Oryctolagus cuniculus: one gene and its partner. The protein of the gene in region 1 interacts with the protein of each later gene in a pairwise test. Links are inferred from orthologs where the notes say so. Each region holds a gene or a part of one and is shown on either strand. Other genes may lie near its edges.

Region 1 (3,652 bases):
AGGTGTTCTAGGGGGGACACCGTGGACCCCAGCCCACCGTACCCCCGGAATGGGGCCAGCAGCCCTGGCCCCAGGGGTTGGGTGTGTGCATAGATCTGTGCCTGGCTGTGTCACCATGCACCCTGGGACTGTCCCCAGCCCCCGGCAGTGCCTGGATGCCTTGTTGGAAAGCAGCTGGGCGCCCACCCAAGTCCAAGCGTCCCCATGAGCGCTAGGTTGGGGACAGAAGGAAAGCCCCATCCGTGTGTTCATGCAATCCTCGTGGCAGGGGAAGGCGGTGGGCAACAGGCAAGACCCATGTGCTCAGGAGGGACCACGCCCTTCTGTCCCCCACTGGTAACTCAGAAGAAATGAAAAGTCTTTTCTCAGCCAGCCCCTGGGGTTGCAGGGACAGCAACAATAGCTTATGAGGTGGTGAGCTCCCTGTTCCCAAGGGAACTCAAGCACAGGCTGGCTGACCACAGTTCTTCCCCCAGGCTATAGAGACAACCTCTGCCTCCTGTCTGCTCCTGTGCCCTTCCCAGGGGGACGCACCCCCTCCCAGGGGAACCCCATGGAAGGCAGGGCAGAGGGGTGGCCTGGAGCCCCAGGGCCAGGCCAAGCGGGGGTGAGAGTGGGGACTCCAGAGCCCAGTTGCTCACCCCCATCTCACCCCTTCCCCAGCGGTGGGTCAGTTCTTCAACGCCAGCTGTGTGCCGGTGAACAACCCCAAGAAGTACCCCTCCTCGCTGTGCGCACTCTGCGTGGGTGACGAGCAGGGCCGCAACAAGTGCACTGGCAACAGCCAGGAGCGGTACTATGGCGACAGTGGCGCCTTCAGGTACTGGGCCACCAGGGGGCCTGGGGCCGGGGTCTGCTCAGAGGTGGCTCCCTCCTGACTCCCACCCTGCCCCGTGTGCGGCAGGTGCCTGGTGGAGGGTGCAGGGGACGTGGCCTTCGTCAAGCACACGACCATCTTTGACAACACAAATGGTATGTGAACCGGGTCAGGGGGCCACACCCCACCCCCAGCACTATCCAGGCACCTGGATTCCCTAAGTTTGGGGCCCACGTGGCAGCTGGAGAAACTGAGTCAAGAAGGCCCTGCCTGGGGGCATCCTGGGGACCTGGAGGAGCGGAGCGGGAGACACGGTCAGAACAGACCTCCAGCCACAGGCCTGGTGTGCAGGACGCACGGAGGCCGTTGCTGGTCCAGGATTCCAGTCCCTAACCCACTGAAAGGGTAAACACTCAGGCTCACTGCATTTGGAAACTCCCGCCTGCCCCAGATGAATCAGGGGGGACAAGGTGTGTCTGAGTGGGGATGCAGCAAGGCCTCGGGCACGGGTGCACATCAGCAACTGGTGTCAGGTCCGGAGCGGTTCACTGTCGCACGCAGGAACGTCACTGTGCGGCCCCAACCACACGGAGGCAGGGCCCACCCCCGGAGCGTTCTGTTCTGCAGGTGGTGCTTCCGCTGGGGAAAAGAGCCTGGAGATGCTGTGCTGCAAGCCCTGAGGTCCAGCCAGAGCTGGGCTTCCCGGAGGGTGTCCCCGCCCCTCAGCCAGAGGACCCCCTTGGCCCGGGGACAGGACGCTGCTGGTCCCAGCACCTGGTGCTTCTACCTCCTGCCTGCACCCCAGGCTGTGAAACCCCAGCCTTCCCCACTCCATCCCAACCCCCCTTCCCAGAGGCACAGCCCAGAAGGGCACAGGTGTGGCCCACAGTGATGGGGGAAGCCAGCTATGCAGGAAAAGCCAGTACTGGAAGACTCAGATGCCCTCTGCCTCAGGTCACGCAGGTGGTGGGCTGGGCTGGCACCTCCAGGCCCGAAGCCTTCCACTACCCAAGTTGCCACTCCACTACCCAAGCTCCCACAAAGACCAGCCAGGGCCAGGTCAGGGGCTCTGCATACTCCTGCCGAAGCCACCAGTCCCACCTCGTGCTGGACCCCAGCCAGGTGGTCCCGAGAAGAGAAGGGTAGAGCCGGAGAAGCCCCTTAGGAGATTCACCTGCGGTGAGGCACCCACTGCCCGCAGGCTCGCTTCCCTATCATCGTGGGCTCTACTGGGGACCCACCTGGAGCTCCTCTGGGAGAGGAGGGTGGGTACTGAGTGAAGCACAAGATAGCACAGGGACCAGCCGCCTGCCCCAGCATCACCTGGTTCAGAATGCAGATTCCTGGGCACCACGGAGACCTACCCGACAAGCAGAGAAACGGCCCCTAAGGCCCTCATGTGGTGTGCTGCCCCCTCCAGTTTGAGAAGGTCAGGCCCAAGGGTATAACACACAGATGGGACTCTGCCCGGGGCTAAATAACAGCCTCCGTTCCCTCACCTGGGGGGCTATGGGTCCTGCCCCGCGCCACGGCCAGGAGGGTCGGGCAGTGTTGTAAAGCGCATGTCACTCAGTAGGAGCGCCCCGCGCCCTGCCCATGGCAGCCCTCGCTCACAACACAGCAGGGCTGGCTTCCCTGTGCTGCTAAGAAGCAGGTGCCGGGACAACAGAGCACGCTGGGGACCCGAGCAGAGGGAGCCAGGGTCGGGAGCGCAGCAACCCTGAACACCGCCCGGCTCCGTCCTCTCAGGCCACAATCCCGAGCCGTGGGCTGCCCATCTGAGGAGCCAGGACTACGAGCTGCTGTGCCCCAACGGCGCGCGAGCAGAGGCGCACCAGTTTGCCGCCTGCAACCTGGCCCAGATTCCGTCCCACGCCGTCATGGTGCGGCCCGACACCAACATCTTCACCGTTTACGGACTGCTGGACAAGGCCCAGGTGAGCCAGCCCCGGGGGCACAGGGGAGCCAGGGCCCTCAGAGCAGCCTGGGGGAAACTCTGTGATTGTCACTTTGGGATGTCCCTCCAGCAACCCTCACCCCATCCCCTACATCATTCATTTTTCCTTTTCAACTGCATCATTCTCACCAATATATAAACAGGTGGGTAATTATTTATAAAGATTTATTTGAAAGGCAGAGTTACAGAGGCGGAGGCGGGGGAGAAGGGGAGAGAGAGACAGAGAGAGATCTTCCATCCGCCAGTTCACTCCCCAAATGGCTGCAATGGCTGGAGATGGGCCAATCCAAAGCCAGAAGCCAAAAGCTTCTTCCAGGTCCTTCACATGGACGCAGAGCCCCAAGGACTTGCGCCATCCTGTGCTGCCTTCCCAGGCCATAGCAAGGAGCTGGATCGGAAGTGGAGAAGCCCGGAATCAAACCAGCACCCATATAGGATGCCGGCACTGCAGGTGGCGCTTTACCCACTGTGCCACAGTGCCAGCCCAAAACTGTTATTTTTACAAACTTTTAAAAAATGAACTATTCCTCTCAGTTTCTCATCCTCCTGTAGCCATAATTCCACTCCCTTGCAGAGTGAGCGCAGTCGGCTCGTCCGTCATCTCCTCTCCTGGTCTCGCGGTGGGCGGGCCCTTCACAAGGTCACAGCAATGCAGTTTGCTAGGTGCAGTGGTCGTCCCTCCATTCTCCCAGCAGTTTTGGCCTCCTCCCAACGGAAGCACTCTGCCCCTGCCTCCCCCACCTCTCTGGCCACTGCTTTCAGGTCCCTTTGGCTTCTCCCTGCTCACCTCCCTGTGCATGCTGGAGCAGCCAGGCTCCAGCCCCAAGCCTCCTCTCTGTGTACACCTACTCCCTTGCTGACCCCACCCAGTCCCATGC
Region 2 (3,652 bases), on another chromosome or scaffold:
ATCCCAACAGAAATCCCCAGGTGGGGTGTGTGTGTGTGTGAGAGAGAGAGAGAGAGAGAGAGAGAGAGAGAGAGAAAGAAAGATCTTCCATCTGCTGGTTTACTTCCCAGATAGCCACAAGGACTTGGCAATGCCTGGCTGAAACCTGAAGCCTGAAGCCTGGAATTCTATGCAGGTCTCCCACATAGGTGGCAGGGGCCCAAGGACTTTGGCCACATTCCAGGTGTTTTAGCTGGGACCTGGATTGGAAGTGGAGCAGCTGAGGCTTGACCTGCACTGTGATAGCCAATACTGGCATCGTGAGCAGAGGGTAGCTTAACTTTCTGCAACACAATGCTGGCTCCAAGTTTCCACATATTAGATAGTCATTTATGATCTTGGTTTTGCAATGTTCTCCCGTCTCTGACTATCTCAAAAGACGCTGTGAAGCTTTCAGACATGTCCCCGAAGAAAATTATCGAGACATCCCTTGTGGACCGTTAAAGTAACCCCTCCTCTCCTCTCCTTCCAGAATCTCATCATGCCCAACTACAAACTCACTTATTTTAATATGAGGGGGAGAGCAGAAATCATCCGGTACATATTTGCTTATTTGAACATAAAGTATGAAGACCGCAGAATAGAGCAAGCTGACTGGCCTGAAATCAAATCAAGTAAGTAGCACAAATGAAAACGTAGGGAAAACGTGCTTTGAGAACCTTTAGTCCTTCGTCAAGAAAATGAACAAATAAAGATGTTTTCATCTCCTGTGGCTTTAAATTGTGAAGCCGTCATTCAGGCAAGCTAAATCGGTACACTATGACTCAGCAGATTTCCTATTAGTGATGAAAACACAAGCCTCACAGACAGCAACTACAAAAATAAACAGAGAGCCTTGCCAGAAGAACTGAATCAGACATGAGATGCACCGTTGTATATTTTATAGTTGCGATTACTGAAGTGCACAGACTCTGAGTAATTTTTCCAGTTTCCATCCCTAACAGGTTGAGCTGATTCAAACCTGCATCAGTTTAATTCTCTCCCCCAAGTATTTTTGCATGAGAAAATGCCAACAATAATGATAAGTGACAATTGGTAATTTAGCAATACATCCCCACATGTCTTTTGGAAGCATGCCTTCTGTAAAAGACGTTGTCTTTATAATGACCACCCCCTTCTTTTTAAGCAGAGATGTTTCTGTCTGATAGGATAGAATATCTTACTTCCTGTTCTCATGAGACTTTACCATTAATCTGCAAATGTTTTTCCTGATATTGGGGTTTTTTTATTACTAGATTTTTTTTTATTTTTCCCAAAAGAAATCTTTTATTTAAGGAAAACAAACTTCATGCATTTCATAAGTAAAACTTTAGGAATGCAGTGATTCTTCTCACCATACTCACCCTCTCACCCACACTCCCACACTCCCACTCCCCCGACTCCCAATCCCATTCTCCACTAAGATCCATTTTCAATTAACTTTACACACAGAAGATCAACTCTACGCTAAGAAAAGAGTTCAACAATTTGCACAGAAAGCGAAACAAAACTGTTCCTCAACAGGCAAGACAAGGGCTGTTCAAAGTCATTGCAACTCGAAGTTAATTTCACTTTTTTTTTTTTTTTGAGAAACTTAATTTACTTTAAAGAAACACCCAAGAATGTTACATCTTTTGGGAGCACTTAGACATAACTATACCTTATAAGATATAAGAATGTTCTTCATTTAATATATTAGAAGAAAGCAAGTCCTTGAGAACAAGTTTTATAATTAATTAAGGAAGCACCTAAGAAAACAAGCAGTGGAGTTTATAATTTAGGCATAACTAAAACTTATGAGACAAGAATATCCTCCACTTAATACATTAAAACAAAATAAATCTTTGAGAACAAATTTTACTGTTAACTCTCATAATACAACTCTTTGAGGACAAAGGTCTTGCATGGGAAGTTAGTGCATAGTGACTCCTGCTGTTAATTTAACAATTAATACTCTTATGTATGATGTCAATGATCATCTGAGGCTCTTGATATGAGCTGCCTAGGCTATGGAAGCCTTTTGAATCCACAAATTCCATCGGTATTTAGACAAGGTCATAAGCAAAGTAGAAGTTCCCTCCTCCCTTCAGAGAAAGGTACCTCCTTCTTTGATGACCACTTCTTTCCACTGGGATCTCACTCACAGAGATCCTTCCTGTAGAATATTTTTTGCCATAGTGTCTTGGCTTTCCATGCCTGAAATGCTCTCATGGGCTTTTCAGCCAGACCAGAATGCCTTAAGGGCTGATTCTGAGGTCAGAGTACTGCTTAAAGCAATTGTCATTCTATGTGCATATGATTTTAAGATAAAAGTTGTATCATAGGTGAATTTCATTTTGTCCATGAAATGATTAGGTCAAGATGAATAGCATAGTGCAAGGATAGTACACACACCAAATTCTGTATTTAAGCTTTTAAAATTTTCATTTTTCTTTTAGAGCCTCATCCCCTAGTCTGTCTTGACTTGTTTCTGTTATTGAAAATGTAGTTTTCACATTTTCTTAATATCTTTATAAAATTCATGATGATTAAGATATTAATTTCAAATCATTTATGAGCCAGAGACCTACCACTGCGTTGTCTTCAAGAAGATAGAAACTTCATAGACATAAAAACTCAAATAGAAATAGTGATTTTTCTCCATGAGATTGTCAAAGACTAGGCTTGCTCTTGTTTATCTGCCACCCATGGCTGTCTTATTTACAGAGTGTAAGATAGTTCACTCTCTTTCCACATTTGGGCTCTTTGGAAGTATGAAAAAGGGAGGAGGCATACCCTTTCTTTTCACAGCTTGACCAGATAGTTACATAGAACTTCCATTACATTCCCTTGGCATGTAAGAACTTAGTCACACATTGGTGACATGTTACTGTGAGGGAAGCAGGGAAATGTTGACTTTATTGTGAATAACACCTTGTCCAGCTAAAACTCCAGGGTTTTATTACTTTGAGAAGAAAGGTTAAAATAGGTACAGAGATGCAGTTTCTATTACAAATTTTATTTGTTCTTATCTCCCATCCAGTTTAGCAGTGCTCTCTGGTGTTTGAAACCCTCTACAATATCCCCTTTGCTAGAACCTGGAATTAACTCAATCTTTGGTCAACCCTTTCCATAATTGAATAATTCTACTAAAAAGTTCTTTCTGGCCAAACCTGCCAAACTGATCACATTTGTTTTACATTTTCTCTCTGCTTTAATAATAGGAAAATATTTTGGAAAAAAGACAAAACACCATAAGGACAAAAACATCAACTTGAATAGGAGAGCAGAAAAATCTGGAAGCTAGAAAGCCAGTAAAAGAATGCTAAGGAGACAGTAGGTTCGTAAAGGCCAAAAAAGAAGCCTGGAGGAGGAAAAGGCAAGCAGAATCATTCTGAGTTCCTGAAAAAGGCTCAGGGAGCAGCAGCAACAGGCAGCTTTAAAAGCTGAGCTAATAGAGGATTGACTGGAAGAATGTGAGAAAGCAGTAGGACCACCAGCTCCTTCCCCCTCCCTGGGAAAAATGTGGACATTACTCTCAGGATAGGATGCACCAGAGGATTCTGGGACAACAGGCATGTCTGAAGACACAATACGATAATAAATATTCAAAGGAAGTCTAGAAACTAAACTGTGAGACCCAAAGTTCCTTTTT

The links. The genes of interacting proteins can lie anywhere in the genome.
Region 2: the proteins of MELTF (region 1) and HPGDS interact in binary tests that used the Homo sapiens proteins (3 or more experiments, as listed by UniProt). The two-hybrid records come from large-scale screens. The link is inferred for Oryctolagus cuniculus from reciprocal best matches to the Homo sapiens genes MELTF and HPGDS.

What each region holds. Positions count from the first base shown.
Region 1 is NC_091435.1:83,488,695-83,492,346, reverse strand, and holds part of MELTF (melanotransferrin), read left to right. Parts: intron 1-663; coding exon of another isoform or gene 664-820; intron 821-904; coding exon of another isoform or gene 905-972; intron 973-2,566; coding exon 2,567-2,754; intron 2,755-3,652. UniProt on the Homo sapiens protein: Involved in iron cellular uptake. Seems to be internalized and then recycled back to the cell membrane. Binds a single atom of iron per subunit. Could also bind zinc.
Region 2 is NC_091439.1:71,161,415-71,165,066, forward strand, and holds part of HPGDS (hematopoietic prostaglandin D synthase), read left to right. Parts: intron 1-511; 5' UTR 512-520; coding exon 521-653; intron 654-3,652. UniProt on the Homo sapiens protein: Bifunctional enzyme which catalyzes both the conversion of PGH2 to PGD2, a prostaglandin involved in smooth muscle contraction/relaxation and a potent inhibitor of platelet aggregation, and the conjugation of glutathione with a wide range of aryl halides and organic isothiocyanates.